Linked DNA regions of Elephas maximus indicus. The protein of the gene in region 2 interacts with the protein of the main gene of each other region in a biochemical or structural test. Links are inferred from orthologs where the notes say so. Each region holds a gene or a part of one and is shown on either strand. Other genes may lie near its edges.

Evidence for each region.
Region 1: of the proteins of MTOR (region 2) and PRKN, one has a biochemical effect on the other in vitro, tested with the Homo sapiens proteins (2 studies listed by BioGRID). The link is inferred for Elephas maximus indicus from reciprocal best matches to the Homo sapiens genes MTOR and PRKN.
Region 3: of the proteins of MTOR (region 2) and RPS6KB1, one has a biochemical effect on the other in vitro, tested with the Homo sapiens proteins (18 studies listed by BioGRID and IntAct, with this or other methods). The link is inferred for Elephas maximus indicus from reciprocal best matches to the Homo sapiens genes MTOR and RPS6KB1.

The regions. Positions count from the first base shown.
Region 1 is NC_064819.1:234,899,800-234,910,361, reverse strand, and holds the start of PRKN (E3 ubiquitin-protein ligase parkin), read left to right. Parts: upstream 1-5,475; 5' UTR 5,476-5,600; coding exon 5,601-5,607; intron 5,608-10,562. Other genes in the region: PACRG (parkin coregulated gene protein), read right to left, coding at 4,764-4,919. UniProt on the Homo sapiens protein: Functions within a multiprotein E3 ubiquitin ligase complex, catalyzing the covalent attachment of ubiquitin moieties onto substrate proteins. Substrates include SYT11 and VDAC1.
Region 2 is NC_064821.1:51,094,150-51,104,385, reverse strand, and holds the start of MTOR (serine/threonine-protein kinase mTOR), read left to right. Parts: upstream 1-5,994; 5' UTR 5,995-6,103; intron 6,104-6,128; exon of another isoform or gene 6,129-6,426; intron 6,427-8,494; 5' UTR 8,495-8,534; coding exon 8,535-8,696; intron 8,697-10,236. UniProt on the Homo sapiens protein: Serine/threonine protein kinase which is a central regulator of cellular metabolism, growth and survival in response to hormones, growth factors, nutrients, energy and stress signals.
Region 3 is NC_064837.1:34,230,762-34,241,579, reverse strand, and holds the start of RPS6KB1 (ribosomal protein S6 kinase beta-1), read left to right. Parts: upstream 1-5,731; 5' UTR 5,732-5,836; coding exon 5,837-5,977; intron 5,978-6,461; exon of another isoform or gene 6,462-6,565; intron 6,566-10,818. Other genes in the region: TUBD1 (tubulin delta chain), read right to left, coding at 1,470-1,701, 2,524-2,740, 3,567-3,714, 4,212-4,383. UniProt on the Homo sapiens protein: Serine/threonine-protein kinase that acts downstream of mTOR signaling in response to growth factors and nutrients to promote cell proliferation, cell growth and cell cycle progression.

The DNA of each region.
Region 1 (10,562 bases), on a different chromosome or scaffold from region 2:
TCATCAGTTAGAACAAGGCCAGGGATTGACTATGGAACAGGCCATCAATTGCTCATATGCAAGTACAAGCTGAAACTGATGAAAATCAGAACAAGTCCACGAGAGCCAAAATATGTCCTTGAGTATATTCCACCTGAATTTAGAGACCATCTCAAGAACAGATTTGACACATTGAACACTAGTGACCGAAGACCAGAGAAGTTGTGGAATGGTATCAAGGACCTCATACATGAAGAAAGCAAGAGGTCACTGAAAAGACAGGAAAGAAAGAAAAGACCAAGATGATATCAGAGGAGACTCTGAAACTTGCTCATGAATGTCGAGCAGCTAAAGCAAAAGAAAGAAATGATGAAGTAAAAGACCTGAACAGAAGATTTCAAAAAGCAGCTCGAGAAGACAAAATAAAATACTGTAATGACATGTGCAAAGAGCTGGAGATGGAAAACCAAAAGGGAAGAACACACTCTGCATTTCTCAAGCTGAAAGAACTGAAGAAAAAATTCAAGCCTCAAGTTGCAATAGTGAAGGATTCCATGGGGAAAATACTAAATGATGTAGGAAGCACTAAAGGATGATTGAACGAATAGACAGTCATTATACCAAAAAGAATTAGTCAATGTTCAAACATTTCAAGAGGTGGCATATGATCAGGAACCAATGGTACTGAAGGAAGAAGTCTAAGCTGCACTGAAGGCATTGGTGAAAAACAAGGCTCCAGGAATTGATGGAATATCAATTGAGACGTTTCAACAAATGGATGCAGCGCCGGAGGTGCTTACTCGTCTATGCCAAGAAATATGGAAGACAGCTTCCTGGCCAACTGATTGGAAAAGATCCATATTTATGCCTATTCCCAAGAAAGGTGATCCAACCAAATGTGGAAATTATAGAATATCATTACTATCATATGTAAACAAAATTTTGCTGAAGATCATTCAAACATGGGTGCAGCAGTATATGGACAGGGAACTGCCAGGAATTCAGGCTGGTTTCAGAAGAGGATGTGGAACCAGGGATATCACTGCTGATGTCAGATGGATCTTGGCTAAAAGCAGAGAATACCAGAAGGATGTTTACCTGTTTTTTACTGACTATGCAAAGGCGTTCAACTGTGTGGATCATAACAAATTATGGAATACTGAATATACCATGGACTCCCAAAAGGACGAACAAATCTGTCTTGGAAGAAGTACAACCCGAATGCTCCTTAGAAGCAAGGATGTTACGACTGTGTCTTACATATTTTGGACACGTTGTCAGGAGGAATCAGCCCCTGGAGAATGACATCATGCTTGGCAAAGCACAGGGTCAGCGGAAAAGAGGAAGACCCTCAACGAGGTGGACTGACGTAGTGGCTGCAACAATGAGTTCAAGCATAACAACAATAGTAAGGATGGCACAGGACCAGGCAGTTGTTTTGTTCTGAGGTGCTTGGGGTTGCTATGAGTTGGAACCGGCTCGACAGCACCTAACAACAATAACAACAGTTGGTCTGTCTTAAAGCAGCCTGACCAATATCTTAAGAATTTATAATTGCTGACCACTACTGCTGTGTATCAGATGAACATGTGACTGGTGAGTATAAAACTCTCTGTCTGTGTAAAGTGAGAATTATTCCTCCTGTTCCGTAAGCCTTGAGAATAAGACAGTTGTAGATTGAGAAGTGAAGCTGTAGCACAAACCTTCACTTGAAGGAAACTTTTGTCACCATACCCTTGGGTTCCTATGCTGATGTGCTTTATAGGGTAAGCTGGCACAGGAAGTATCTACTGTCTGTCCAGATAAAGTTCAAACAACCCTGGATTCCTGCCTTTTGGGCAGGGGCTCTGTCATACATAGTCAAGACCTTCAAAGGGAAAATTAACTATGAAATCTTCAGATTTTGTATCTCCTATCATTCTTTTTTTTTGGGGGGGGGGTATCATTCTTTTTAGGAAAACATGATAACAATATGAATTAGAAAATTATTTTCTGATTAAAGGGCTTTTATCATTGCTCATTTTGACAAAGAATGCCACAAAAATGTCATGAAAGTAAAGGAACTACTCCCTATTGAAGAACAGTTGACCTTGGACTGAACGCACTTGTTGGTTACATTTTTCACCATTTTGTAGATAATTCCGCAGTCCCATATGCAGATTCTGGCTGTTTAGATGCACAGTGCATCTGATCAAGTTTGTCAATGATCAAATTTTTATACTTATCATTACGGCACTCTCACAAGAATATCAGGAATCGTCATACGACTCCCGAGGGTGCAGCTCTATGTATCTTTTGTGGGGAGCACTGGAATGGCAGCTCATCTAACTAGCCAGCATTTGAAAAACAGAATTGAATGCAATCCTTAATGCTGAAAAATGGTTAGAAGGTTTGGTTTTCGCAATATGGGGTTTCGATTAAGAAAAGCTGGAGATTGGCATATTATGTTGTCTAAATAGAAATACACCTTAAGGAAGATGTAGGGATATTTTAACTTTATAAATGCCAAAAGTCCTATGCTGCTAAAGGTAAACGGTGAAATACTTCCTTTCTTTTACCACTGAAGTTAGTTTGTATGAAGAGCACTGTCTAGTTTTATCAAGACTTTATTGTTGATAAAGTGGTAGTGGTGGTTTTCCTAGGGACAGGGACTTTGTTTTGTTCACTTGCTGATCCCAGACTGACTGAATAATGTTTATTTCTAAGAATTACGATTTCTGCTAAATGGAGTGAAAAAAATGAACCATTCCATTCTGGGATCCCAGTGGAGACATAGATAGTGCACTAAAAGTTTTCTTTAAAAATATGCAAAGAAGATAATTTATCTCAAATTAGTTGTTTATAAAGAAAGCTACTTCATAATCGATGTCTTTGAGTTTTGTCAACATATTTGCTGGGCAGTGCAAGCGGTGTGCAATCAGCTGCTAACCTAAAGATTGGCAGTTTGAATCCACCCAGCGGAGGTGCAGAAGTGCCTGGCAATCTTCTTCTGTAAAGACTGCAGCCAAGAAAACCCTACGGAGCAGTTCTACTCTGTAACGTACAGGGTTGCCATGAGTTGTAATTGACTTGATGGCAATGGATTTTTTTTTTTTTTTCTAGTGACAAAACATTCGGTTTTCCAGAACAGAGACTTTTGGTGTAAGGCTGTTTAAGAATACACACAATATATGAATTTGTGAACACCAGTTTAAAAAACAAGAGAATCTGAGCTCTTTTTTTTTTTTTTTTCCTAGACATCTGTGATGTTAAAATGTAACACTGGAAAAAAATCTTCAAAATGATCATTATAAATACTGTATAGAAGAAAAGATAAATGATTCACTTGTATGGTTATGGGATTCTGAATGGCTGATAAATGAGTCATCCCGGCTACCCTGAGAAACAGTTCACAAGAAATACAATGAAAAGACTGCAGTAACAACATGCAGGATTATTAGTGTATTTCCCAGAATTTCAACTATTGTAAATCAATTCACACAAGTACGAACAACCAGAACACCACTCTGTGTAGCAACGTGGGGATCAGACATGGAGACTGGAGGTAATCTGTTTCTTTCACGTATTTAAGGACGTGGTTTAGGAATAAGGTATCACATTTGCAACATTTAAGTAAAACAAACAATGTGACCCACACTGGAAAGCAACACTATTCATTTAACACAATGAGTTACACATAATAAATCAGATCCTCCCAGGGTGTAAACTATACAAATTTGAAAGCTACATTTATTATTAATGCCTCATTCCCAGACAGGTGCTTACTCAGTAGTAAAATCTGGTTTAGCATACCACATTTAAAGCTATTTAACAAATAGGAAGATTTTCTTTTTTTCTTTTTTTAAACTAAATTACCATGTATATAGCCAAAGGATTTGTGTGCATTAAAAAAAAATTTATTTTCTAATAGTGTTAAGAATATTTTTGTTACCACAAATGGAAATGAAATACGAATTGTACTAATAGGCAGAAGGAGCCCTGATGGTGCAGTGGTTGTTTGGCTGGTAACTGAAAGGTTGGTGGTTCGAGCCCACCAGCCACTGTGTGAGAGAAAGATGTGGCAGTCAGCTTCCAAAAAGATCACAGTGTTGGAAACCCTACGGGGCCGTTCTTTGCTGTCCTATAGGGTATTACGAGTCTGACTCGACGGTAACGGGCTCGGTTTTGGTTAATGGTCAGAGATTCTTGAACTGAAGATTGGATTATTTTAAAAGCATCGCTTATTGTTACCAGGAAATAGACTTCATATTCGGTACTCTGAGTACTCTAACAGGCTGATATCATTTTGTGAGAAACGGTGTTGCTGGAGTAAACCTAAGATATTCCAAAATTACCTACGTGGATGAAATTTCTCATTACAGATGATTTAATGAGCTTATGTTCTCAGCTGTACATCAGCACGTGTTAAATTTTGCAAAAGTTTGTGATTTCTAACAACTCACCTCCTATAAGGCCCTTTGCCCTGTAGAGCTAGTTCGGTAGCCAATAAATAAAGGGGATCTTTTTTGTTCGCATAAACAGCTTAAGAGTAATTCTGGGTGCTCTAGAAACTGTGAGTGCATAGGAAGGTGCTTATAAACGGGACGGTACACCACTTGCCCAGGATCCTCTCTAACCAACCTAACTTGACATCCACACTCTTGGGTACAGTCTCCCACTGGCCAAATAATTGCCAGTTTGGCAAAGACCACCCAGGACACGGCTCAGGGTCCATTACAGGGCCAGCCTGCACAACCTCGTGTACCCTGCTTTGGAGGAGAGCATTCAATCGGAAGATCACTTACGACCGAGTTTTTCATCATGGCTTTGACTGTGAAGCCCTCGGAAACCAGGGAATGCGGCTGGTGCAACGGGAGCGGCTGTTGGGCCAGCAGCTTGGTCCTCTTCGGTATCTTGTCTGGGCATTTGTTTAAGCTCAGGGTCTCTTTTTCTGCCACCATCTTCCTAGGAAAAGTCTTGTTCTCATAAAAAAAAAAGTGTATTAAGAATCAGTGGGGCCTACGGATGTAAGAAGGTCGGGAAAAAATGTCAAAAGGCGCAATACTGATAGAAATTCCACCCCTCGTAGTGCCCAGGTCGATCCAGATGTTTGGCAGCTCCTAGGTGAACAGGGTTTGGGGGAGGGGAGGGGCGGGAGGAGCGCAGGACCTTGGCTAGAGCTGCAACAAGCTTCCAAAGGTAAGCCCGCGGTTGCTAAGCGACGCGTCAACATTGCGGCCGAACGGCCTCGCCCTGTCGTGACGTGCGCTGCCTGGGCTTTGAAGCCGGAAAGGGTCGCCGCAGGGAGGCAGGCGGGGCGAAGGCGTAGCTGCCGGTCAGGACTACGACTCCCGGCAGGCCACGGGACGCGTTTCCTTTGCTCATGCGTCTTTGTGCCTGGAGCCGGCTAGAGTTGCAGTGAGAGGAGGTGATTGGGGGGCGACGGCGTGACTGCAATTCGGAACTACGACTCCCGGCAGGCTTCGGGCCGTAGTCTTCTGCGCTTGCGCATTCGGTCGTCCCGGGGGAACAGAGCGTGGGTGGGGAGATCTGAGCAACAGCCGGGAAGAGCGGCCTTGGGAGGCGGCGGGCGACGGGCGCTGGAGCCCTGTTGCCGAGCGGCCGCCGCCCGCCCAGTGACCATGATAGGTACGTGGTGCCTGCCAGGTACAGCGTCTGTGCGCCGCCATGCCGTGCCTGGGCCGAGGGGACCCGGGGGTACCCGCCGTGACACCTGTCAGTGACAGGAGACAAGTGCCCACGCTGCCTGGGCTCCTGTGTCCGGGGACACGGCCTGGACCTGCGACTCTCGTTGGGGGACCAGAAACTAAGTGTGTGTTCTGTGGTCCCTCGCCCTCCTGCCTGGTTTAGCAGGCTCCCACCGAAGAGAGCTAGTCAGGAACACTAGCCAGGGGGCACTAGTGCCTGCCACCTCCCTCCGAGATGACCGCCCCTCCTCCTGGTGCCACATGGGTCCCCGACGCCCAGAGCCTTGCAAACGCCCCTGCAAGACCCGTGTGGGGTCACTGGAGCGCCGCCGTTCCCCGCCCAGGTGTCCTCCCTCACCTTGCTCTGGTGAGCTTGGCTGGCTGTCTTTCAGCCTAGGACACGGTGGAACCCCTTCAGTAGAAGTCTTTAAGGGGAATCGTGGAGACAATCAAACTCTAATGAAAAACACATGGTACTGATGGTTGGGCTCAAAACATTCCTTTATGTGAATTTATACTTGCTTCCTTGACATTTTCTTCTAAACCTCTCCCTGAGAGTCTGAGATAAAAGAATAATTAGCAGTGTAATAGCAAGGTTTGAATATTCTGCCATTTGCATAATGCATTAACTGCAATATATATATATATAAAACACAAAATGACTGAGATGCCTTGTGAATGAAGCTTTGGAAGTGGATGTTAGAGTTGTTTGTAAATACTGTGATGTTTTAGATTAGCAAGGGTCCTCTCTTCCAGGGTTAAGAGACAAGGGCCAAGTTATTTTAGAGGCTACCCCTGAAAATCTGTGGAAATGCACAGTAGGATTAGAAAACAACTATTTGAGGGGCTCGGTATGACAAAGACTTGCTCCAGTTTATGTATTAGGAGTATGGTGTGAGATTAGGCTTATTTCTGAGGGATACCACAAAACACGTTTTTGATTGTAACAAGTAAATATTAGTTCGGATGTGGTCTGTTCAGAAAGATGAGTGGTGGATTGATAAAATACCTTAAGTTTGTGTCCTAGTTTCCTAGTACCACTGTAACAGAAATGCCACAAGTGGATGGCTTTAAAGAACAGAAATTTAATTTTCTCACAGTTCTGAAGGCTAAAATTCCAAATTAGGTTTTCCACCTTGTGGATGCCTTCCCTCTGGTTTTTGGAGGCATTCCTTGGTTCCTTGGCAATCTTCACATGGCATCTGTCTTCACCCTGTTTCTGCTTCCTTCCATGTCTCTACTGCTCTTCTTATAACTCAGAAATAATTAGGTTTAGGACACACCCTACACTGATATGGCTCTATTAACATGACAAAGAAAATCTTATTTCCAAGAGGGACCACATCCACAGGTCCAGGGGTTAGGATTCCAGCATAGATTTTGGGAGGAACACATAGGTTGTCTGTGAAGCCCTGGTGGCTCTGTGGTTAAGAGATCGTCTGTTAACCAAAAGATGGGCGATTGGAATATAACAGCCCCTCCTTGGAAACCCTATGGGGCAGTTCTACTCTGTCCTATAGAATCCCTATGACTTGACAGCAATGGGCATTTCCTGTTGTTAGTTGCCCTCTAGTTGATTCCAACTCATGGAAACCCTACGTGTGCAGAGGATGTGACCTTTTGGAAGGAGATTACGAAGCTTGTCTTCCAAGGCACCCCTGGGTCAGTTCAAACTGCCAACCTTTCTACTGCTAGTCAAGAGCTTAACTATTTGCACCACCTGGGGACACCACTGGTGGTGTAGTGGTTAAGAGCTACAGCTGCTCGCCAAAAGGTAGGCAGTTTCAATCCAACGGGCACTCCTTGGAAACTATGAAGCAGTTCTACTCTGTCCTATGGGGTCACTATCGTTAGAATCGACTCGATGACAGTGGGTTTGGTTTACAGGTGTAGTTACCCCACAGCATTTCCCAAGTCTGCTTTATTTATGGAAAGAATGTTAAAATGCAAAGCATTGGTCTCGTCTCTAGGAGAGTCACAGTGGTTAATTAGCCTTGGCTTTGCAAATTTTTTTTTCTTTTGCAGCAATGGTGAAACCTTGGTGTGCTTTCCATCTTATACTCTAGCGTGGAATGGATTTTAGTGAATGACTGTTAAAAATTATCAAATTAAGAAAAATTGATACATTGTTATGAATCTTATTGAGTCTTTTTAGGTGGCATTTGCACAAGAATTACTTGAAAACACAAATCTGAACTGAATCAGAAAACCAAGCAAAAGGTGTTTTCTCAGAATTTGTATCATTATTTTACAGGAAAAGAATAATAGCCTATGCTTTATTTTGAAGACAATTATGCAAATTTTTAAAATTCTGCTTCAGTACAAGGATATTATTAAGAATAGCAAACGTATTGTAAAATCATAAAAAGACAGGAACTTGAGATCTAAAAGTCTTTGCTTAATTCTAAATTAATATCTAATGCATGATTATGCAAATAACTTTATTAGGATGAAAGTTATTTAGCCAGTTGTATTTAGTTTTTATTTGGAAATTATGAATAAAAGAAGTATTATCTTTGACAATGATATGGAGAATATAGGGTGGATTTTAAAAGGCATTTTTTCTCATACTTCAGCTATTGCTTTATGTAGAGTAAGTAAGTGTGTATTACAACACAAACGTCAGTTTGTTGTACTGTAGTAGATTGTGTGTTGCTGTGATGCTGGAAGCTGTGCCACCGGTATTTCAGATACCAGCAGTGTCACTCATGGTGGACAGATTTCAGTGGAGCTTCCAGACTAGACAGACAGGAGGAAGGACCTGGCGATCGGCTTCTGGAAACAAACAAACATAGTGAAAGCCTATGGATAGCAGCAGAACATTGTCTGATATAGTGCTAGAAGTTGAGCCCCTGAGGTTGGAAGGCACTCAAAACGCAACTAGGGAAGAGCTGCCTCCTCAAAGAAGAAGAGGAAAAAAAAAAAAAAACCCTTGCAGTCCAGTGAATTCCGACTTACAGCGACTCTATAGGACAGAGTAGAACGGCCCTGCAGGGTTTCCAAGGAGCAGCTGGTAGATTCCAGCTGCCGACCTTTTGGTTAGCAGCCATAGCTCTTAACCATTGAGCTACCAGGGCCCCTCTCAAAGTAGAGTCGACCTTAATGGCGTGAATGGAATTAAGCTTTCAGGACCTTCATTTGCTGATGTGGTAGGATTCAAAATGAGAAGAAATACCTTTAAATATCCATGAGTAATCAGAACATGGAATGTATGAAGTATAAATTAAGGAAAATTGAAAGTCATCAAAAATGAAATGAAATGCATAAAGATTAATATTCTAGGCTTTAGTGAGCTGAAATGGACTGGTACTGGCCATTTTGAATTGGGCAGTCATATGGTCTGTTATGCCAGGAATGACAAATTGAGGAGGAATGGTGTCACCTTCGTTTTCAGAAAGAACATTTCAAGATCTGTCCTGAAGTAAAACACTGTCAGCGATAGGATGATATCTGTATGCCTGCAAGGAAGACCAGTTAATACAACCATTATTGAAATTTACCCACCAACCACTAATGCCAAAGATGAAGAAATGAAAGATTTTTACCAACTTTTGCAGTCTGAAGTTGATTAAACGTGCAGTCAAGATGCATTGATAATTACTGGTGATGGGAATGTGAAAGATGGAAACAAAGAAGGATCAGTAGTTGAAAAATATGGAGTTGGTGATAAAAATGACACTGGAGATTGCATGATAGAATTTTGCAAGACCAATGCTTTCTTCATTGGAAATACTTTTTCTTAACAATGTAAATGACACCTATACACACGGAGAAGCAACTCTGTAGCACAGTAGTTAAGCATTCGGCTGCTAACAGAAAGGTTGGTGGTACAAACCCACCAGCCACTCCATGGGAGAAAGATGTGGCAGTCTGCCCCCATAAAGATTACAGCTTTGGAAACTATGGGGGCAGTTCTACCTTGTCCTGTAATGTCACTGTGAGTCAGAGCCAACAGAATCAGATACACATGGACCTCACCAGATGGAATACACAGGAATCAGTTGACTACATCTCTGGAAAGAGATGATGGAGAACCTCAATGTTATAGTCACAACAAGGCCAGGGATCGACAGCAGAACAGACCATCAATTGCTCATGTACAAGTTCAAGTTGAAGCTGAAGAAAATGAAAACAAGCCCAAGAGAGCCAAAATACAACCTTGAGTATATTCCATCTGAATTTAGAGACCTTCTCAAGAATAGATTTGACTCGTTGAACACTAATGACCAAAGACCAGAGAAGTTGTGGAATGACCTCAAGGACCCGTACGTGAAGAAAACAAAAATTCATTAAGAAGATAGGAGAGAAAGAAAAGATCAAAATGCATGTCAGAAGAGACTCTAAGACATGCTTTAAACACGGAGTAGCTGAGGGGAATGGAAGGAATGATGAAGCAAAAGAGCTGAACAGAAAATGGGTGACTCCAGAAGAAAAAGTAAAGTATTATAACCAAATGTCCAAAGACCTCAAAGGTAGAAAACCAAAAGGGAGGAACATGCTTGGCATTTCTCAAGCTGAAAGAACTGAAGAAGAAATTCAAGCCTCAAGTTGATATTTTGAAAGATTCTAGAGGCAAAAAATTGAACAATGCATGAAGCATCAAAAGAAATGGAAGGAATACACAGAGTCGCTGTACCAAAAAGAATTGGTCGACATTCAGCCAACTCAGGAGGTAGCATATGATCAAGTCGATGGTACTGAAAGAGGAGGTCCAAGCTGCACCGGAGGCATTGGCAAAAAACAAGGCTCCAGGAATTGATGGAAATACCAATTAAAAATCTTCAACAAATGATGTGATGCTGAAAACACTTGTTTATACCAAGAAAGTTGGAAGACAGCTACCTGGCTAACCAACTGGAAGAGATCCATATTTGTGCCCATTCCAAAAAAGGTAAT
Region 2 (10,236 bases):
ACCTTCCTTCCGTTCCGCCCCGGGGCAGGGGCTGGGTAGGCGGGGGGGTCCGGGGACAGCAACGAGCGGGCCTTGCACCCCACGAGGCCCGGCGGCACTGCCCCGATCACCTGTCACCTGGGGAAGACCTAGCTCTCGTCTCCAGTCCCACGTCAGAATCCCAGGCCGAGCCGCGGCCGCCTTCCCGCGGCCGCCATCTTGTGCGCCCGTCCGGGAGGCCCGCTGGGAAACAGAGGCCGGCGGCGCGAGCCGGGCCGGGTTGGGCAGGCCCGGGGGCGGGGCCGGGAGACAACCCCGAGGTCCAGCCACGCCCAGGCCGAGGGGACCGCGCCCGGCCGCTGGTACCCAGCTAGCTGGAAACAGCCTCACTCAGCATCATGTGACCTTTCAGTTTAGCGCTATGAGTCGAAATCGACTCGACGGCAACGGGTTTGGTTTTTTGGTTTTCGTTCACTGAAATAGCATTCATTCATTTATTCATTCAACAAGAGTTTATTGTGCGCCTGCTGTGTGCAGACGCTGATCTAGACGCTGGGGACGCAGCAGTGAACAAAATGGACAAAAATCAGGGAGCAAATTGAAGGTGATAAGAAAAGTATAATTAGCCCCATTTTTTAAAAAATGGGAGAATTGAAGCCCTGGAATGGAAAGTGATAGTCTAAGAACTTAAGGGCTCTAGTAATAATCAGGTAGGAGCTCTGGTGGCGCGGTGGTTAAGCGCTCGGCTGCTAACTGAAAGGTCGGCGGTTCAAACCCACCAGCAGGTCCACAGAAGATGTGACAGCTTCCCTAAAGACTTAAAAACCAAAAACCAAACCCGCTGCTGTCGAGTCAATTCCGACTCATAGCGACCCTATAGGACAGAATAGAATTGCCCGATAAAGTTTCCAAGGAGCGCCTGGTGCACTCGAACTGCCGACCTCTTGGTTAGCAGCCATAGCACTTAACCACTAACGCCACCAGGGTTTACCCCTAGAGACTTACAGCCTTGGAAATCCTATGCGTGGGTCACTATGAATCAGAATCGACTTGACCGCAACGGGGTTGGTTTAGTAATACCGTACTGTGATCGCAACAGCAATAATTCCTTCTTTTTATTGTGCAATTGACATACCATATGCTGCTCTGCCTGCCTTTTTTTATATCTTCATTTTCTAGTGTATTTATTTCTTCATGAAAATAATTGCCCTCCTCCCTTCTCCCACCAAGCGTCTAGTTCTGTCTTCATTGCCCCGCCTTTTGGGAGCTTGTGGTCCCTATCTGTGGTTCCTTCTGGCTGGAGAGAGCTAATTGTTAAATTTCCAGAAATTCTGTGATGGGGTCATTAAGCAGAACCATTATTAAAAATTAAATTATACAAACTTACAATTAAATAAATTCTTAAAAACAAAGGTAACAAATACAACTTGTCACTTCCTGCTTATTTTACTACATTTTACCGTTTATGTTCCTCAGGCTATTTACATCTATCGTAGCTACACGATGGAAATACAGAATAATGGTGGGCTACTGCACATCTCCGCCCCCCTAAGTGACATCCATTGGTAGCTTGAAATATGCTATGGTAGAAGTATTTACACCGTACAAATCAATGAATGTTTAATAATTATTTTGTTGACTATCTAGACTTTAAAAAAATGACCAACCAAAACAAACAAACAAAAAACCCATTGCAACTCCTAGTGACCCTATGGGACAGAGTAGAACTGCCCCACAGGGTTTCCAAGGAGCAGCTGGTGGACTTAAAATGCCAACCTTTTGTTTAGCAGCTGACTGTTCAACCACTGCGCCGCCAGGGCCCCAAAAAAGTGACAAAGGTGGGGGTCTTAAATACTAGCAAGCGGTCATCTAAGATACATCAATTGGTCTCAACCCACCTGGAGCAAAGGAGAATGAAGAACACCAAAGACATAAGGTAAAGAAGAGCCCAAAAGACAGAAAGGGCCACATAAATCAGAGGCAACATCAGCTTCAGACTGGAAGAACTAGGTGGTGTCCAGCTACCACCGATGACTGCCCTGCCAGGGGACACAACAGAGAACCCTTGATGGAGCAGGAGAACACTGAGATGCAGACCTCAAATTCTCATAAAAAAGACCAGACTTAGTGGTCTGACTGAGACAAGAGGGACCCCAGAGATCATGGTCCCTGGACCCTTTGTTAGCCCAAGACTGGAACCATTCCTGAAGCCAACTCTTCAGACAGGGATTGGACTGGACGGTAAGACAGAAAATGAGACTGGTGAGGAGTGAGCTTCTCGGCTCAAGTAGACACATGAGACCATGTGGGCAACTCCTGTTTGGAGGCGAGATGTGAAGGCAGAGGGGAACAGGAGCTGGTTGAACGGACACAGGGAATACAGGGTGGAGAAGAGGAGTGTGCTGTCTCATTAGGGGGTGAACAGCTAGGAATACATAGCAAGGTGTGTCTAAGTTTTTGTATGAGAGACTGACTTGATTTGTAAACTTTCACTTAAAGCACAATTTTTTTTAAAGTGACAAAGAAAATGTTAATAATGCAGATTAAATTTAAAAGTATGTGAAATCTGTAGCCATTACACTGCGAATGTGGTTGTTGTTGTATGCCGTCCAGTCGATTCCAGTTCACACTGACCCTATATGACAGACTAGAACTGCCCCATCGAGTTTTCTAGGCTGTAATCTCTACGGGAGCAGATCGCCAGGTCTTTTCTCTCTCAGAGCCGCTGAATGGGTTCAAACCACCGACCTTTTAGTCAGCAGGCAAGCGGTTAACCATTACGCCATCAGGGCTCCTCGGATTGTGAGTAGGACCAAAAATCTAAGGAAATATTCTTCCGGTATCTGAAAACTATTCACCAAAGAGGTCGCTGAAGTCACTGACAAGTAAAGTTCTGACATCTCTCGACACGTCAAACTATCAACCAACATTCATGTTGAAACTACTCATTGATCAACTGCAGCCATAGATAGGCTACACAATATCAGTGAAGGCCTTCTGTGAAACCAATTTAGCTATATGGAATTTACAATAAAAACATCATATATTTTATTATTATTTGTAAATTGTGTGCTACACACCCTTTATATTGGTAAAGTTTCTAATACACATATAATAGGTAAGTACACAGGACTGACTACGTAATTTGTGTGGCTCAATGCAAAATAAAAATGTGGGGCCCTTGTTCAAAAATCATGAAGAATTTCAAGACAGTGACCGCATAGTATTATGACTACACAGGTCACACTCCCAAAAAGCTCGCCTTGTATATGCACACATCACCGCCCACCCCCAGAGCTGGTTGTTAAATATTTGCAAGTTCCCTGCTGAGCACAGACTTTTGAAGCTGGCTGAGCCTGAGTGTCCTGTGCTGCCAAATCAGACAAGGCAAAGACGCAGAGATAAGAAAAACCTGGCTCTATCACTTATCAACTCCATGGCTCAACTTCTCTGTACTTTAGTACTTACTCATGTATAAAATGGAAACAATATGACAGTCACAGCATTTGCTAACTGTTCACATCTGCCAGATACTTTTGTAGGTACTTGACACGTACTAGCATTTAACCTCCATAACACTGGCTACTGAGATAGGTACTATTATCATTCCTGTTTTACAGATAAGGAAATAGGTACATAGAGATTAAGAACTTGCCCAGGTTCATACAGTTAGTAAGTGTGTGGTGGCGCAGTGGTTAAGAGCTCGGCTGCTAACCAAAAGGTCGACAGTGTGAATCAATCAGCTGCTCTTTGGACACCCTGAGGGGGTGTTCTACTCTGTCCTATAGGGTTGCTATGAGTCAGAACCTATTGACGGCAATGAGTTTTCGGGCGATGCAAATGGTTAACATGCTAGGTTGCTAATCAAAAGGTTGGCAGATGAAGTCCATCCAGAGTTACCGCGGAGGAAAGGCCTGGTGGTCTACTTCCAAAAAAAATCAGCCATTGAAAACCTTATGGAGCACAGTTCTATTCTGACACACATGGGGTCGCTGTCAGAATCAACCCCATGGCAACTAGAGAGATTTTAATGAAACGGGTAAGAAAGGTCTTTGTAAAATGAGGAAAAAAACAAAACAAAATGAACCATTGCCATCGAGTCAATTCCGACCCTTAGTGACCCTATAGGACAGAGTAGAGCTGCCCCATAGGATTTCCAAGGAGTGGCTGGTAGATGTGAACTGCTGACATTTTGGTTAGCAGCCAAGCTCTTAACCACTGTGCCACCAGGCAACAGACCTACAAATGTGCTGATTACTATTGTTATAAACCACCTTTAATTGTTAATTAGAAAACAGAGCTTTGTCACATCTTCCAAAACCAAAACCAAACCCAGTGCCGTCGAGTCAATTCCGACTCATAGCAACCCTATAGGACAGAGTAGAACCGCCCCATAGAATTTCCAAGGAGCACCTGGAAGATTCGAACTGCCGACTCTTTGGTTAGCAACCGTAGCACTTAACCACTACGCCACCAGGGTTTCCTTGTCACATCTTAGGGTGGTAAAAATCTCATATATTGTTGGTGGGAGTGACAACAATATCTCCCTTATAGAGGGCAATCTGACAATATCCGTGAGAGCTACGCATTAATTTGCCCTGGCCCTGCAACCCCATTTCTGGGAATTTGCCTTGATATACCTGCCCCAGGACAAAATGACATATGCACAAGGGCATACATTGAAGCACTGTTTTTAATGGCAAAAAGTTGGAAACAAAGCAAATGTCTATTATCAGGGGACTGCGAAAACAAATTATGGTATATCTGCATAATGGAATACCAAACAGCTATAAAAAAGCAGCTTTCTATATATCTACCGTGGAAAGACCTCCAAGATACACTGAAATTTAAAAAGTGCAGAACAGCGTATACAGTGTAAGGAAGGAGAAACACAGGAAAATGTAAATTCATATTTGCTTTATTTGCATAAAGAAACTCTAGAAAGATACATATTGTTGCTGTTGTGGTGTGCCGCCAGTGGACTCCAATTCATGGGACCCCCATGTGTTAGAGTAGAACTGCTCCATAGTGTCTTCTTGGCTGAAATCTTTATGGAAGCAGATCACCAGGCTTCTATTCCTCAATGCCACTAGGTGGGTTCGAACCACCGACCTTTCAGCTGGGAGGGCAAACCATTTGCTGCACACAAGGACCTAAAAAAATAAGGGGCAGAAGCAGGAGCTATATAGAAGTTATAATTTTTATTTATTTTGAAATTTGAATGGTAAATACATTACCTATTTGGAAATTTTTAATAAGAAGAGATGCACTGAAATTCCATTTTTTGCTATTGTTTAGAGGATTAAAAAAAACAATATTGCTTTTAAAAGTATTTAAACTCATTGCCATCGAGTCAATTCTGACTCAGCGACCCTAGAGGACAGGGTAGAACTGCCCCATAGGGTTTCTAGGGAGGGGCTGGTGTATTCGAACTGCCGATCTTAACCACTGCGCAACCAAGTCTCCTTAAAATTACTTATCAATACCTTATTGAATTAAAAATTGGCTGTAATCTCTTGGGAATTATCCTGTGAGCCAAAAATTTTTTGCAGTGAGAAAGTATAACTAAAAACATTTTCAAATGGATATTAAACTTAACGTCCAGTAATTACAAGGCCTTGGCAAGGCCCACAGGCTCCTTTCATAATTACACTGGGCGAGGTCTCGAGTCTCTCTCGAACCTGCCTACCACCTATCCCTCCCATCCCGCGGTACCCAGAGAGCGGACTCGGCTGGCCCGCTTCCCAGATGCAGAGGGGAATTAGAGTAGCGATACACCGGAAGTGTGCATGGAAGTGACTGATGTGAACTCACCACCGATTGGCTCTCCAGAGCCGACAGTAGGCTCCTTTCTCCTGCCACTGGCCGCATGGTTTGTCTATTTGAACAGTCCCCGCCCTCCGGAGAAGCCGGGCCTGAAGCGTCATTTCGCCTTCGTTACTATTGGTCTATATTCCAGCCAATCTTCTTACTTCGCCTTTCAATTGGTCCTTAGGTCTGGGAGCCCACCCTCTCTCCCGCCCGGCTTAGAGGACAGCGGGGAAGGCGGGTGGTGGGGTCGGGAGTCTGAAGCTGCGGTACCGGCACTGGCGGCGGCAGCTGAGGCCTTGGCCGAAGCCGCGCGGTGAGTCTGGGGCCTGGCACCGACCCCTCCAAGTTGGCGGTATGTCCAGACCCAAGGCCAACCTGGTCGGTGGGGGCCCCGGGAAGCCGCCCGTCGGGGACGTGGAGTCCCCTCAGTAACAGTCCCACGAGCCTGGCGCCGCCTGGGCCCTTGACCCCTCGCCCCGCGAGTAACGCCCACCTCCTCCCGGGCCCCCAGGAGTCCCCGGACCCTTCAGCCTGTCGTTCGTCGCAGGCTCTCCGGAGGCCGGCCCATCAGCTCCGGTCCTGCCGAGGCCCTTTTGGGGCTCCCTGCCCGTCACAGTCACCCTTTTTTCTTCCAAGGTACATACAAACTGGGGACCCTGTGCCTCGGAGAGGACCGTCCTCAGTGTCAGCCCCTTGCACTGCGCCCTGGAGACCTCTCAGGGTCCCAGTCCACGGGGCTGAATTCGGTTATTTTCTTGGGTTTCATCTTTCGTGCCTCTCCCCCGCCGCCATCCCTAGTTTCAGCCACCCAACTTTAACGGGCTCCCTGAAGCCCTCACTAAGACCCTTAGAACATCTGACTTGGAGTAATTTAACTGAATTCACCTTGGAGCAGAGAGCCTGTGGGACTCAGACCATACAAAGATACACTGGTTCTTTCCTAAGGATGGTAATTATTTGCCAAGCCCCTCCCCCCGCCCCCGCCTCCCCACCTTAATGGTTTTTTCATCAGGGATCCTTAGGTTTCCTCTCCTGTAAAAGATGACATTTCCTTCTGCAGTCTTCTTGGCACTGGGGCATTTAAAAGTTTTTGAAAACCAACTATTCTCTGCTTTTCCTCTGTGGGTCACAAATGGCACTTAAAATAAGAATTTTGGTAATTGGTTTTGTAGTATAATTTGGAGATACCTAGGATGGGTACATGTTACTCCCATAGCAGTCTGCACTGAGCCGTGGTATGGCCACTTTGTTCTGGTTGCCTGGTTATTTGTATTTCCCACTGGATTGTAAACTCACTGAGGGGAAGAGACAGTAAATAGTTGAAGAATGAGTGAATGAACTCAAGAACTAATGTGGCTCTTTTAGCTCACGTTTGAGGTGCTGGTATTCTATAGGACTGCACTGTCCAATTGTGCATGTGGCTATTGGCTAGACCAAATCGAGATTGCTGTGAGCGTAAAATACACACCAGATTTCGGAGACTTAGTGCAAAAAAAGAATGGAAAATGTATCAATTTTTTATATTGATAACATGTTTAAATGGCATTTTATATATTGAGTTAAATAAAATATGCTATTAAAATTAATTTCACTAGTTTCTTTTTACCTTTTTTTAGTATGGTTACTGGGAAGTTTAAAATTACGTTTGTGGCTTGTATTATATTTCTTTTGGATAGCGCTGCTATAGCATAATAATCAGTCTTTGTCTTTAGATTGAACTCCTTGAGGAAATGGGCAGTCTCAGTTATTTGGTATTCTCTCCCCACCTCTAGTACCTGCCACTGAGTCATGTACATAGTTGTTGGGTGCCTTCGAGTTGATTCCGACCCGTAGTGCCCCATGTGACTGTAGAACTGCCCCATAGGGTTTTTCTTGGCTGTATCTTTTTTTATCTTAATGGAAGCAGATTGTCTTTCCTCCATGGAGCTGCTGGATGAGTTCGAACCACCATCCTTTCTGTTAGCAGCTAAGCACTTAACTATTGTGCCACCAGGGCTTCTTATGTGTATACATAGTAGTAATAATGGTTAACCTCAATGAGATGGATTGACACAGTGGCTGCAACAATGGGCTCAAGCATAACAGTGATTGTGAGGATGGCACAGGACCGGGCAGTGCTTCTTTCTGTTGTACGTTGGGTTGCAATGAGTTAGCACCAACTTGACAGCACCTAACAACAACAATAATGGTTAACAATAGTTAACCATTATTGAAAACTCACTGTGTGCCTAGCACTATTTTAAGCACTTTTTAAAATTCATTTAATCCTTTAGAGCTACAGCTACTAACCAAAAGGTAGGCAGTTCACATCCCCCAGGTACTCCTTGGAAACCATATGGAGCAGTTCTCCTCTGTCCTGTAGGGTCGCTATGAGTCAGAACGGACTCGATGGCACAGGGTTTTTATCCTCATATTTATTGTGGTCGAGGAAAGTGAGAGAGATTTTAAGTATTTTCCTCAAGTTATGTAACTTTGGAACTGGATTCAAACCCGGATAGTCTGGCTCCACAACCCACAGTTCAACCCATTTTGCTATGCTGGCTCTTTTAAACGTTAATCTCTGTTGAAAGAATGTTTTCTAGGCTTTCTACGTGTTCCTTAGATCTCCCAACCTTTTTTGAATTCTCCACCTGACATGAGCTGGGTAGAAATCTGTATTGAGGAACAAGGGCCAATAAATTCATTGTCATGGTTCATTATCCAGATACTAAAGGAAGCTTTTCTCCAAAGAACCTCAGGGCAAGATGCTTGGAACAGGACCTGCCGCCGCCACCACGGCCACCACCACATCCAGCAATGTGAGCGTTCTGCAGCAGTTTGCCAGTGGCCTGAAGAGCCGCAATGAGGAGACCAGGGCCAAAGCTGCCAAGGAGCTCCAGCACTATGTCACCATGGAACTCCGAGAGGTTGGGGCTTCTGTGATTTGGGGCAAGTCACTGGGAGGTATCCAAGCTAAATATACCATCACTGTTTTAGGTTCCTTTTTTTTAAAAAAAATTTTATTGTGTTTTAGGTGAAAGTTTACAGCCAAATTAGTCTCTTCATTCAAAAATTTGTACACAGATTGTTTTGTGACTTTCATGGCAATCCCTGCGATGTGTCAGCACTGTTTCCCCTTACTCCAGGTTCTCTGTGTCCATTCATCTGGTTTTCCTGTCCCTTCCTGCCTTCTTGTCTTTGTTTTGGGGCAGGTGTTACCCATTTGGTCTCATGTACTTGACTGAATTAAGGAGCATGTTACCTATGTGTGTTATTGTTTGTTTTATAGGCCTGTCTAATCTTTGACTGAAAGGTGGACTTTGGGAGTGGCTTCAGTTCTGAGTTAGCAGGGTGTCCAGGGGCCATAGTTTTGGGGGTTTCTCTAGTCTCTCTCAGACCAGTAAGTCTGGTCCTTTTTTGTGAATTTGAATTTTGCTCTACATTTTTGTCTGGCTCTGTTTGGGACCCTCTATTGTGATCCCTGTCAAAGCTGTTGGTGGTGGTAGGTGGGAAGCATATAGTTCTTCTGGGCTGAGGCTGATTGGAGACTGTGGTTCATGTGGTCCGTTAGTCCTTTGGACTAATATTTTCCTTGTGTCTTTGGTTTTCTTCATTCTCCTTTGCTCCAAATGTGATGGGACCAAAAGATGCATTTTAGATGGTCACTTGAAAGCTTTTAATACCCCGGATGCTACTCACCAAAGTAGGATATAGAACGTTTTCTTTATGACCTACTTTATGCCAATTGACATTTAGTTCCCTGAGACCGTGGTCCTCAGCCCTCAGCCCCTCAGAGTGTTTGGATGTGTGTAGAAAGCTTCTGTGGCTTTGCCTTGGTCAAGTTGTGCTGACTCCCCCTATATTGTGTGTTGTCTTTCTTTTCACTAAAATTAATATTTGTTTATTATCTTCCCATCCCTCCCCTCCCTTGTAACCATCAAAGTTTATTTTTTCTGTGTGTAAACCTTTTCTTTGGTTTTTATAATAGTGATCTCATACAATATTTGTACTTTTGTCATTGACTTATTTCACTCAGCATAATGCCATCCATAATTCGTCCATGTTGTGAGGTGTTTTGTGGATTCATCATTGTTCTCTATGGTTGTGTACTATTCCACTTTGTGTATGTTTCATAATTTGTTTACCCATCCATCTGTTGATGGGTACTTAGGTTGTTTCCTTCTTTTTGCTATTGTGAATAATGCCACACTGAACATGGATACGCATATGACTATTTGGGCGACAGCTGTTATTTCTCTAGGATATATTCCTAGAAGCGGGATTGCTGTATCATATGGTATTTCTGTTTCCAGATTTTTAAGGAGGCAGCATATTATTTTCTATAGTGGCTGTACCATTTTACATTCCCACCATCAGTGTGTAAGACTTCCAATCTCCCTTCAACCTCTCCAGCATTTGTTATTTTCTGTTTCTTTGACTAGTGCCAGTAATTTTCGGGGTGAGATG
Region 3 (10,818 bases), on a different chromosome or scaffold from region 2:
GGAGAACAACGTGAGAAATTTGGGTGATAGGAACAGGAAATTGAAGAAGAGGAGCTGGTTTTAGTGACGGATGAAGGGGAGAAAAGATAGGAAAAATGAAAAGATGAATCTATTCAAAACGTGGTAAATTTGAAGCAGCGGCAGACCACTAAGAGATAGCTATTTGGGAAAGAGATTAGAACTGGAGGTAAGGATTTGCACCTAGATGGTCCGAATTAATAAGGCACCACCTGAAGAACAAGGGCTGAAGAAAAAATGGTAGGAAATGTGTGTCTGAGGAGCAGATGGAAGTGAAAAATGGTCAGAAAACATAAGTGAGAACAATTAAAAAAGGAGATGAAGAATAAGGACAAAAAAGTCCTCAAGTTGAGAAGCTGAGGAAGGGGGAGGCTGTTAATTATAAAATGCTGACAGATATCAGGGCTTTGAACCAATTTGTTCCAGTTCGAAACCCTGCTGAGAATTTGCATTTCTAACAGGTTCCCAGGGGATGCTAATGGCACTGGTTAGGGACCAATTCTGAGAATCGCTAAAAAAAAAAAACCAGTTGCCTTCTAGTGGATTCCAACTACTAGGGACCAAATAGTAGGGCCAAAACATAGCGACCCCATAGGGTTTCCAAGGCTGTAAATCTCTAAGGAAACAGACTGCCACATCTTTCTCCCACAGAGCCACTGCTGGTTTTGAACCACCGGCCTTTCGGGTTTGCAGTCCGACTGCTTTAACCACTGCACCACCAGGGCTCCTTACTAAGAGAGCAGTGGCTCTTGAAATTTATTATACATAAGAATCACCTGGGAATCTTGTTAAACTATAGATTCTGACTTTGTGTATCTGCAATGGAAATGTAAATTTCTATCAGGTGTATAAACCAGAATGAACTGGTTCGAAGCTCTGCCAGATACTGAGGCTGAGAAGCCCGCTAGATTTGGAGACTCTAAACCACACTGAATAAAGAGTGCCAAGTTGGAAGACAGGAAGGAAAGAAAGCCAGGTAGCAAGGCATAAGAAGAGAAAAGACATCACCAAGAAAGTGAAAAGACAACCTGCAGAATGAAAGCTTTTTTTTTTTTTTTGAAGATCATAAACCTGATAAGGGACTTGTATGCAGAATATGGAGTCCCTGGGTGGTGCACTCAGCCGCTAACTGAAAGGTTGGAGGTTCGAGTCTACCCAGAAGTGCCTCAGAAGAGAGGCCTGGCAATCTATTCTCAAAAAGTTAGCCATGGAAAACCCTATGGAACACAGTTCTACTCTGACACAGATGGGATCACCATGAGTTGGAACTGACTGAACCGCAAATGGTAAAAAATTCAGAATATATAAAGAACTCTTGTTAACTCAAAAATAAAAAAAGATAAATAACCTAATTTAAAAAATGGGTAAAGGATCTGAATAGAATAAGCTCGCAGGCTTTCAGAGCATAAGACTTTCTCACAAATAACAGAGGAGGGCACGGGGACACCTACCTAATGGATTTCTTCTATAGTGAAACGAGCCTCCTGCAGAGTAAGTGGGCTGGAACACGCTTCCCAGCTGATGTGCGAGGACGTGATTTAGATTGCTAAAGGAGACCTGTCTGAGACCCATCAGTTTTGCACAGATCTTATGGACAGCATCATTCTCATGAACAAGGAGGGCATCCGAAGATTGGTACAAGTGAGAGAGAGTCAAAATGGAGTTGTAGTTCTGAACAATAACCTAGAAAGAAAAACATCAGAAATAAGAAAGGCAGGAGTGAAGAGTGGTTAAGAGCGTAGATTCTGAAGCCATCCTGCCTGCGTTCACATTCCTGGCTCTGTCACTTTCTAGCTGTTGGTATGATTTTGGACAAGATATTTAACCTCTGAATGCCTCAGTTTCCTCATTTGTTTAAAAACAAACAAACCCATTGCCATTAAGTTGATTCCAACTCATGATGACCCTGAGTTACAGGTAAGACAGGGACAATAATTACACTGGTCTCCGAGAGTTAGAAAGATTAATGATATAATGGAAGTAAAGAACTTAGGAATAGTGCCTTGTACATAATAAGGGCTTAGTAAATGTTGGCTATTATCACACTTCCTTCCTACATCATTTCCTATAGTGAGTTATCTCACCTCCAGTTTACTGATTCTCCTACTAGGCTGACCAACACGAAATTGGCCTATATACAAACTTCTTCCCCATGGAAAAAAAAAAAAACTATTTGAAGGTTGGCAATGGCACCATGAACCCCAATATGAGGTCAAGGTCTGTCCTGCTTTACATACTGTAGCCAGAGGGACTAACTCAGAGTTGGGTTCCTGAGAGGGCATACACAATCATCTTTTTTTGAAATTTTAAAAAACGTGGACACCTAGTTTGTTTGGAAAAGTTTAAGTTAAGTGAATTGTACTCAAGAAAGTATCATGTTGCATAATCACTCCTGAAGCTGTAACTTAACATGTCCAAAGAAAGAGTGAGAATCAATTTCCTACCCACATTTATTTCAACTGGAAAGAATGCAAAATATAAAAATTTCAATTAATACGTTCATACCTCACCGGTTCCATAAGGCCATATAACCTGATTCATTTTAAAAGAGTTTGGGTACTGATCTTGTAAATCCCGGGTAACAAAGGCTCCTAGCCCTGATCCCGTGCCCCCGGCCATACTCATTATGATGAAAAAACCACTCAAAGAGTCACATTTCTCCACTTCCTTCTGAATTAGGTTCATTATAGATTCTTCATGCCTGGGTCCATGAACAGAGTAACTATGCAATGCAAAAGAGACAAACATAAACCCTTTTAAAATTGACCACAGAGATGCAATGCAGAGATAGACACAGGACAGAGCGAGCTTTTCAAAGCTGCGCAAGTGAACTAATTCTCACGAAAGATACAAGTACTCTGACTGGCAGAATTTAAAATACAAAAATATATTTAACAGGTGAATATGACTGCTAGGAGAGGGCACTGACTAGGTACAGGAAATTCTCTTTTATGGGACATTCATTTACCAGGAGCCTTCAATGACCAAGTAGTTCTGTGTAAGTTTCTGGTACAACATAATATCTGATACTCATAACAATAGTCCTAAAGCAGTGGTTTCAAACTTTGCTGCACATTAAAATCACCTGGGGACCTTTGAAAAATCCCAATACCTGGACTTTATCCCAAGCCAATTAAATCAAAATCTCTTGGAGCGAGTCCTAGGCATTGAGACTTTCCAAAGATCCCCAGGAAATTCTAATGTGCAGCAAAGTGCTGGAACTACTGCTTTGTAATATTCTTGCCCAATAAACCAGAATACTCGCCAGATACAGATAATATACTGACAGTAAGTCAGCTGGCAGCACGACAATGAAGAAGGTGGAAAACCTTGGGGCAAGAGATCCTTCATCATTACCTGTACCTGAAGCACAGACACAGAGACTGAATGAGAGTTTCTTCTGGGTGAATTCAAACTTTAAAGTAGCAATTACAAGATTGTTTGCTAGTACAATCTAGAGTATATCAACTCTACAATTGTAACTACATTGTCTATTAATCAACAATGTATCTGTAACTAAACTGCAAAATATGTGGAATTATTCTTACCCATATGCCCAGTTGTTTCCAGAACCTTGTCTTTGACAGAAGCATGCATGCTGACCATATTTCCATCGGCCAGACCGGGCAGCCTTTGATAGTGTTTGATTGATAACTTTAGGTTCCATGTCAACAAGTACAGCCCGGGCAACTAGAACTAGCAAGGGAAAAAAATCGAAAGAAAAAATATTTCAAGGAGGAAATTTTATAGTAGTTAGTGTTGTCAAATCCAGCAGAGAAGTTAAGTGAATTAAGAAAAGAAAAACAGCCATTGAATCTGGTAATTAGGAAACTTTTTCTTAGAGTAGCTTCAGAAGTGGTGAGGGCAGAGCAAGATTGCACTGGGTTAAGGAGGGCTCTCCATTGAGAATCTTGGATAAGAAGGCAAGAAATTAAGAAAGAAGAAAACTTTAGTCAAGGGATTTTTTTTGTCTTGCTTTGTTTTAGACTGGTGAGATCTGAGCGCGCTCATGTGCTGAAGGAAAGATGCCACTGGGAGGCAAAAATTGTCAATAATAGAAACAGATGGGAGAGAGCAAACATAGGTCCCTAGAGAGATGGGGGAGGGATGGGGTTCAGACACCAAGTGGAGGGCTTGGCCTTGAAAAGGCTGGCTACCTCAGACTAAAGGAAAGAACCATGGGCCACACATACCTCCATTTTCCTCCTCACTGAAGAACCTTTCTTTGCAAGACGCTTGATACGCCTCATTCTCCTTCTTGGAGCAGAGTCCCTGGGAACAGTATGAGTCACTAAATAAAGTATCAAACACTTCAAAACCAATCTGATTGCCACACTGACCAAGTTGCACTGTTACTATTGACATGCTGAGCCACAAAGTCCCACCAAAAAAGTGAGCAACCTGTAATAGAAAAATATAGACTTTGAGAACTATTATATTACTAAAAGAACAAATAAAATGCCACATATTAATTACATCTTGATTAAAAAATATAATTTAAAAATGCCATATATGTACAGGGTTGCAGATGAAATTGTTATGTTGTCTAAGGTGCCAGTCATTCAGGAAGTTCTCCTTTTCTTTATGGTTTTGCGATTTGTGATTTACTATACTCAAATACATTCATACACAGCTTCCACAATCTGATTCATACTATTTTCTTCAGCATGCATTTAAGACAAAGCAAAAAGAATGCTGATTGACGGGATTACGTAGTAATACACAGTTCACACCACGTGGACACATAGAACACAGAATTTCTCTCTGCAATCACGCATTTAATTAACAGTAATTTTCCCTCTTCTAAATAATGACTTTCTCTCCCTTCACCAACCTCCTTTCTGGCTTGATAACTACAATTACACTTTGTGACCTCTTGGTTAGCAGCCCAACTCTTAACCACAACGTTCCCTGGGCTCCTTAGCTCCAGTACAGGAAGAAAGCCGGAGCTCGGAGAAAGCAGACCAGATGAAATATTAGAACTGGTTTTCATTATGTTTAATAAACAAAACAGACAATTTTTGATAAAGACCTCACACCAGGTCTATGCAGCAGTGGAAATGAGCCACGGTTTGTGAGCCAGGTTCTGTGCTTCAGATTTTCAAACAATCCTACAAACCAAACCAAACAAAACACACCAAAATCCTACAAAGCAGGCATTATTATCCGCTTTTTACGGATAAGGAAACTGAGGGTCTGGAAAGTTTTGTGATTTCCCAAGACCACCAGACTAGTAAAGAGCAAAACCAAGACTCTCCCTTTCCCCACCGGCCCCAGGAACCCCTCATTAAAATAAACTCACTCACTGACAGCCCCGGTACTAGTCGCTTCTGTCTTCTTCAAACTTCAGAGGGCCAATCCTCTCGTTATGCGCATGCTCGCCTTCAACACTAAACACTGCCAAGAACGAATGCGCATGTTCCACAGACTGAGCGTTTTGGGGGTAAGTGGGGTGGTGGGTGCGTGTGTGTGTTTCTTCTTATTCAGAAAGGTTAATTACGCATGTTTAATTTCAATTTATCAACATCAGATATGGTACGCATGCTCGCTGTCCATCAAAAGCTTGAGCTGACAATGCGCATGATCTAGCCTCCAACCGAGGCTTCGGCTGGCATTCTGCGCATGTCTCTCCCAGGACCTTGATCCTGGCAATAATTCTACGCATGTCCACTGCCCACAGTTCGGCTTCATGGGACCCAGTACGCATGCTCTAGCGCTGAACTTGAGGAGCCAGTCTACGGCCTAGGCGCAGTCGCACTAAGCCTAAGCGGCCGGTGATGGCGGCAGCGGCGGCAGTGGTTGCGGCGGGTCCGGGCCCATGAGGCGACGACGGAGGCGGGACGGCTTTTACCCAGCGCCGGACGTCCGAGACAGGGAAGCTGAGGACATGGCAGGAGTGTTTGACATAGACCTGGACCAGCCAGAGGACGCGGGCTCTGAGGATGAGCTGGAGGAGGGGGTGAGGCCCGGGGTCCCGGGGGGCCCGAGGTGACAGGGCTGGGGCGGCGGCTAGGGCCCGGGAAGCCAGGCGTGTCTGAGAGCGCGGAGACCCAGGGGGGCGCGAGTAGTCTTCGGGAAGGGCTGGGAGGCGCCCCGCGCGGCGGAGGTGGCCCTAGGTGTGAGGCCGCTGCGGGGCTCGCAGGTGCAGGTCACTCCCCCAGCTCCAGATCAGCGCTGTCCCGAGCAGTCTGTTTGTGGAGGGAACGAGGAAGGATGCGTGATCAGTTCCTCGAGCTGTGGCACTTGTGTGTGGTGGGACGCGGGTGGTGTGAGCGTGTGTTGGGGGGAGGGAGGCTGGCTTGTTAGGTGTCCCGTAAAGTGCAGGCGAAGTGCGGAAGGGTTTCCCTTCAAGTGTAAAATTTCAGGTATTAAATCCTCAGATCTCCCACAACTACCTCTCTTCTCGGCCTGTCGCTTCTCTCCTAGGAAGCGCTCAGCTGTTAGAAGTGACAGCTGAAAACTTCTGTCGGGAGTAGCGCTGCCGCTGCTGTTACAGCCACCAGGAGTTTTATTTCTGGAGCAAGGGGGCTCAGCTGCATCTTCCAGGGTTTGTTTGTTTGCTTTTTTTTTTTAACCCCCTTCCGTGTGATTTTTTATAAAAGCATTTGTAACGACACACGGCATTTGTAATTAACTTTTCTTCTAGATGAAGATGTCTCTCTTTTTCGAAATATATTTATGTAATTTTGGGGTGGAAAAAACCCACTGTTGACAGCTGTGATTTGGCTTGCCAAAAATAAATTGCTTGAATTGAGACTTGTGAATGGTGGTGTGAGGGCTTTCCTTGCTGTAATTTAGGATGCTGAATTTAGAATTTTTTTTCTAATGCATAGCTTGGTTTTACCTTTAACAGTTTGTTATTTATGAAAGATCATTCTTTCTTCAAGATGAATTTGTTGAAAAATCACAAATTGCACCTGATGTTCAAAAATGATGTTGTCATACTAAATCACTTATCCTGGGCTAATGGCATCAGCATAACCTCAGTGTAATTTAGGTTCTAAATTCCACTGTCTAATGAGTACATGGGTTAATGACTCGTGTCATACGTTTGCTCTAACTACATAAGGGGCTCCCCTTTTCTTTCCCCACGTACAATTTTCCTGCTATGGCAATAAATTGCACCCTGCTTGTTAAAAGATTTCAATGCTACATATATAAAGAACTTAAGCAACTAAGTGGGCTAAAATAATAATAACTATTCTTTTCATGATCAAATGAGTCTAAATCAAAATCACACAGTTTAGAATGTGGATAAGAGGTATGTGCTTTTTAAACTGCTATGTCTGAGTATGGGATTCCGTTACTCTCTTAAATGAACACCATGGTACACTAAATAACAATTTGAAACAAATAGGGGATTACTTTCTTAATACAGGTAATTCTGCATCTTTTTATGTTTTTTTCTGCTCCAACTTCCATTACATGCACCATACTGTCATCAGTTATAGTATTTCCATATGGCAATGATTTTGGGCCAGGGTAGGGAGAAAACGAGATAGGAAGGGTGCTTTATATTTTTGTGAGTTAAAATGATATAATTTCCAAACTATGAGTTTATCCTCCTTTGAAAATACACCACTATATTAAGACACTTGTTATGAACTGGGACCCCCTTGGTATGTGCTTCAGAAACAGTGTGTAGTCCAGTTTTGACCTTCTCCTGGGCTTTTGTTTTGCTTCCTACAAGCAAAGTAGGATTTTGAGAGGATGTGGTGGAGATGGCCTGAGAAATTGGTAGATACAGGAAAGAGCAAGAAGTGTGGTAACTACCTGGGAAGAGGATAGAGCCAACCAAACCAGTTGCCATGGAGTCCACTTTGAGTAAACTCAGACTTGTGGTGACTCTATGCGTGTCGGAGTAGAACTGTGCTCCATAGGGTTTTCAGTGGCTGACTCTTTGGAAGTACCATGTTTTTATGCAGATAACATGTGCCTTCTATGTTTGTTTGCCAAGCACTCCCTCCCCCCACAAGATATTTTCATAAGAGCCTCTATGCTGATTTTTTAAACATGTTTCTGTAAAAAATTAGCATAGCACACTTATGAAAATAACCTGGGTCAGGGGGGAAGTGGTTGGGAAACAAACTACAAGGTGCATGTTATTTGCATAAGAGTATGGCAGGTCACCAGCCATTTCTTCTGAGGCATCTTTGGATAGTCTGAAAACTCCAGCCTTTTGGTTAGCAGCAGAGCTTGTTAACCATTTGCACCACCCCGGGGCTTTGAGGAATAACCTTAAGTAAAATACGTCTTACTTATCAATGCTTTGGGAGTTGAAATTGTTTCTTTTGGGTGTGTTATTCTAAGAGGTGCCTCAAGGTAGACAAAGTTGGGGTGGGATTGGGGTGGCAACCCAAGGAGAATTGCTTACGTCCAGGTTACTCGAAATAAAAAAAAAAATTCTGAAGAATAATAAAAGTTTAGTTTCTAGGAAAATGTAATATTTTCCAGCCATTTATGTAATAGCTATTAGTTTATTACACAGACTTTTTTAACAATGTGTATCAGAGTAACCTAATCTCTTGATTTTATAGTAAGGAAACTGAGGCATAGGTCAGAGAGATGATTCCCCAAGATCACATAGCTAGTGGTAGTGTCTTCTGACTCAGTTCAGCAAGCTTCATTGCACAACTTCACTTTATTTACCAGTCTTGATCATAATGTGCATCTTTGTGGTGTGGCAGAAGTGAGTTAAAAATCACTTCTACTACCCTCCCTATGTGACTTAAAATAAGTTGCTTAACCTCACTGATGGAGCCCTAGTGGCACAGTGGTTAAGAACTTGCCTGCTAACCAAAAGGTTGGCAGTTTGAACCCACCAGTCACTCCTTGGAAACCCTATGGGGCAGTTCTACTCTGTTCTGTAGGGTTACTGTGAGTCAGAATTGACAGCAACAGGTTTGGTTTGATTTTTAACCTCACTGTCACTTTCTTCTTCTCTATGAAATAACGATGGCATGAGGTAAAGTATATATATACACCCATTACAGTTGAGTCAATTCTGACTCATAGCAACCCTATAGGACAGAGTAGAACTGCCCCCTGTAGCGTTTCCAGGGAGCGGCTGATGGATTCAAACTGCCAACCTTTTGGTTAGCAGCTGAGCTCTTAACCACTGCACCACTAGGGCTCCAAAGTATAGAAAGTACTCTCAAAATATCCTGGCATGTTAAGCAGTTAGCTAGTTCACAGAAATAACTGTCAGTATTACTCGTTGACAAGGAACCATCATTCAGATTTACCTTCATCCTTGCCTGTTGTTACTTGCCATCAAGTCGATTCCTACTCATGGTGACCTGTGTATGCAGAGTAGAACTGCTCCATAGAGTTTTTAAGGAGACTTAAGTGGAGTTATACATACTAGAGGTGGTTCAGTTTTACAACTGTTGCATCAGGTTTTTTTTTTTTTTTTTAACAAAAAGCATTGTAGTCCTATTTAGAGAGGGGTGTTTTTCTAGGTGTGTTACACTAAGTGAATCCTTATTGGTAAATATGATGTATTTACATAGCATAGTCAAGTTCACTCTTTAGAGTAAAAGACGAGAAGTCTAAACTGATACTCTTATGGATGAAACTGAATGCCTGCTACTAATAAAAGAAAACTCAAACCAAATCCATTGCCACTGAGTTGATTCCAACTCATAGCGACCCTAAAAGATAGAGTAGAACTGCCACATAGGGTTTCCAAGGAGCGGCTGGTGGATTTGAACTGCCAACCTTTTGGTTAGCAGCTGATTTCTTAACCACTGTGCCACCAGGGCTCCCATCAACTAATAAAAGAGCCTGCTTAAATACATAAAATCCTCCAAAACTCATTGCTCTTGAGTCTATTCCAACTCATAGCAACCCTGTAGTACAGAGTAGAACTGCCGCATAGGATTTCCAAGGAGCGCCTGGTGGATTCAAACTATAGATCTTTTGGTTAGCAGCCATAGCTCTTAGCCACTACACCACCAGGGTTTCCATGCTTAAATACATAAGATGAATATATTAAAACTGATGGGTTAAAAGTATCTTTGATTAGTTTTTTTTTTTTGTAGTTTCAATGGTGATGCCATCATTATTTGGGGGCAGTGAGTTGAAACTAAGGGAAAGTTTTCCTCCAGAGAATTTCATTAGATTGTGAAAATGTCAGAAACTTCTCTGCTTCTGTGGAAGCACAAAGTTTAAAGAGTAATAGAAAACTTATTTAGTTAAAAAAAAAAAAATCCCTAAGTTTTACTCTACTAGTTCAAAATTTGAAATAGTGATAGAGGTTTGCTGCACAAATTCAAATTGGGACAGCATGCTTTTACTGTGTAAAAACTTTAACATTTTTTAGTGCTTTGGCAAAGCAATAGTGGTATATTCAAATATTCATGATTATCAAAAATTATAGAAAAACACACTGTTATCAACGCTTATCTTACCTTGTAACGTATACTTACCATAAACCAGGAGCTGTTTTTAATTCCTACATGTACAATTCAGCAACATGGAGTATATTCTTCAAGTTGTACATCCATCCTTGCCCTCCTTTTCCGAGTTGTTCCTCCCCCATTAACATAATCTTACTGCTCCCTAAGTTTCTTATCTTTCAGGTTGAGCAGCAACCGTTCTTAACTAATCCAAGATTTTGGAAAAGTTTTACCCTTTCCTCCCAGTTCTTCTGAATTACTGAATTTTATTTAATATTAATCATTTCTGAACAGCCAGGCAAGTGCATAAATGATTTAATGAATATCTGGATTAAGGAAAACTTCACCCATTCTGGAATAAGTTACTTAAATTTTTATGAAATTGATCTCTTTCATTGGG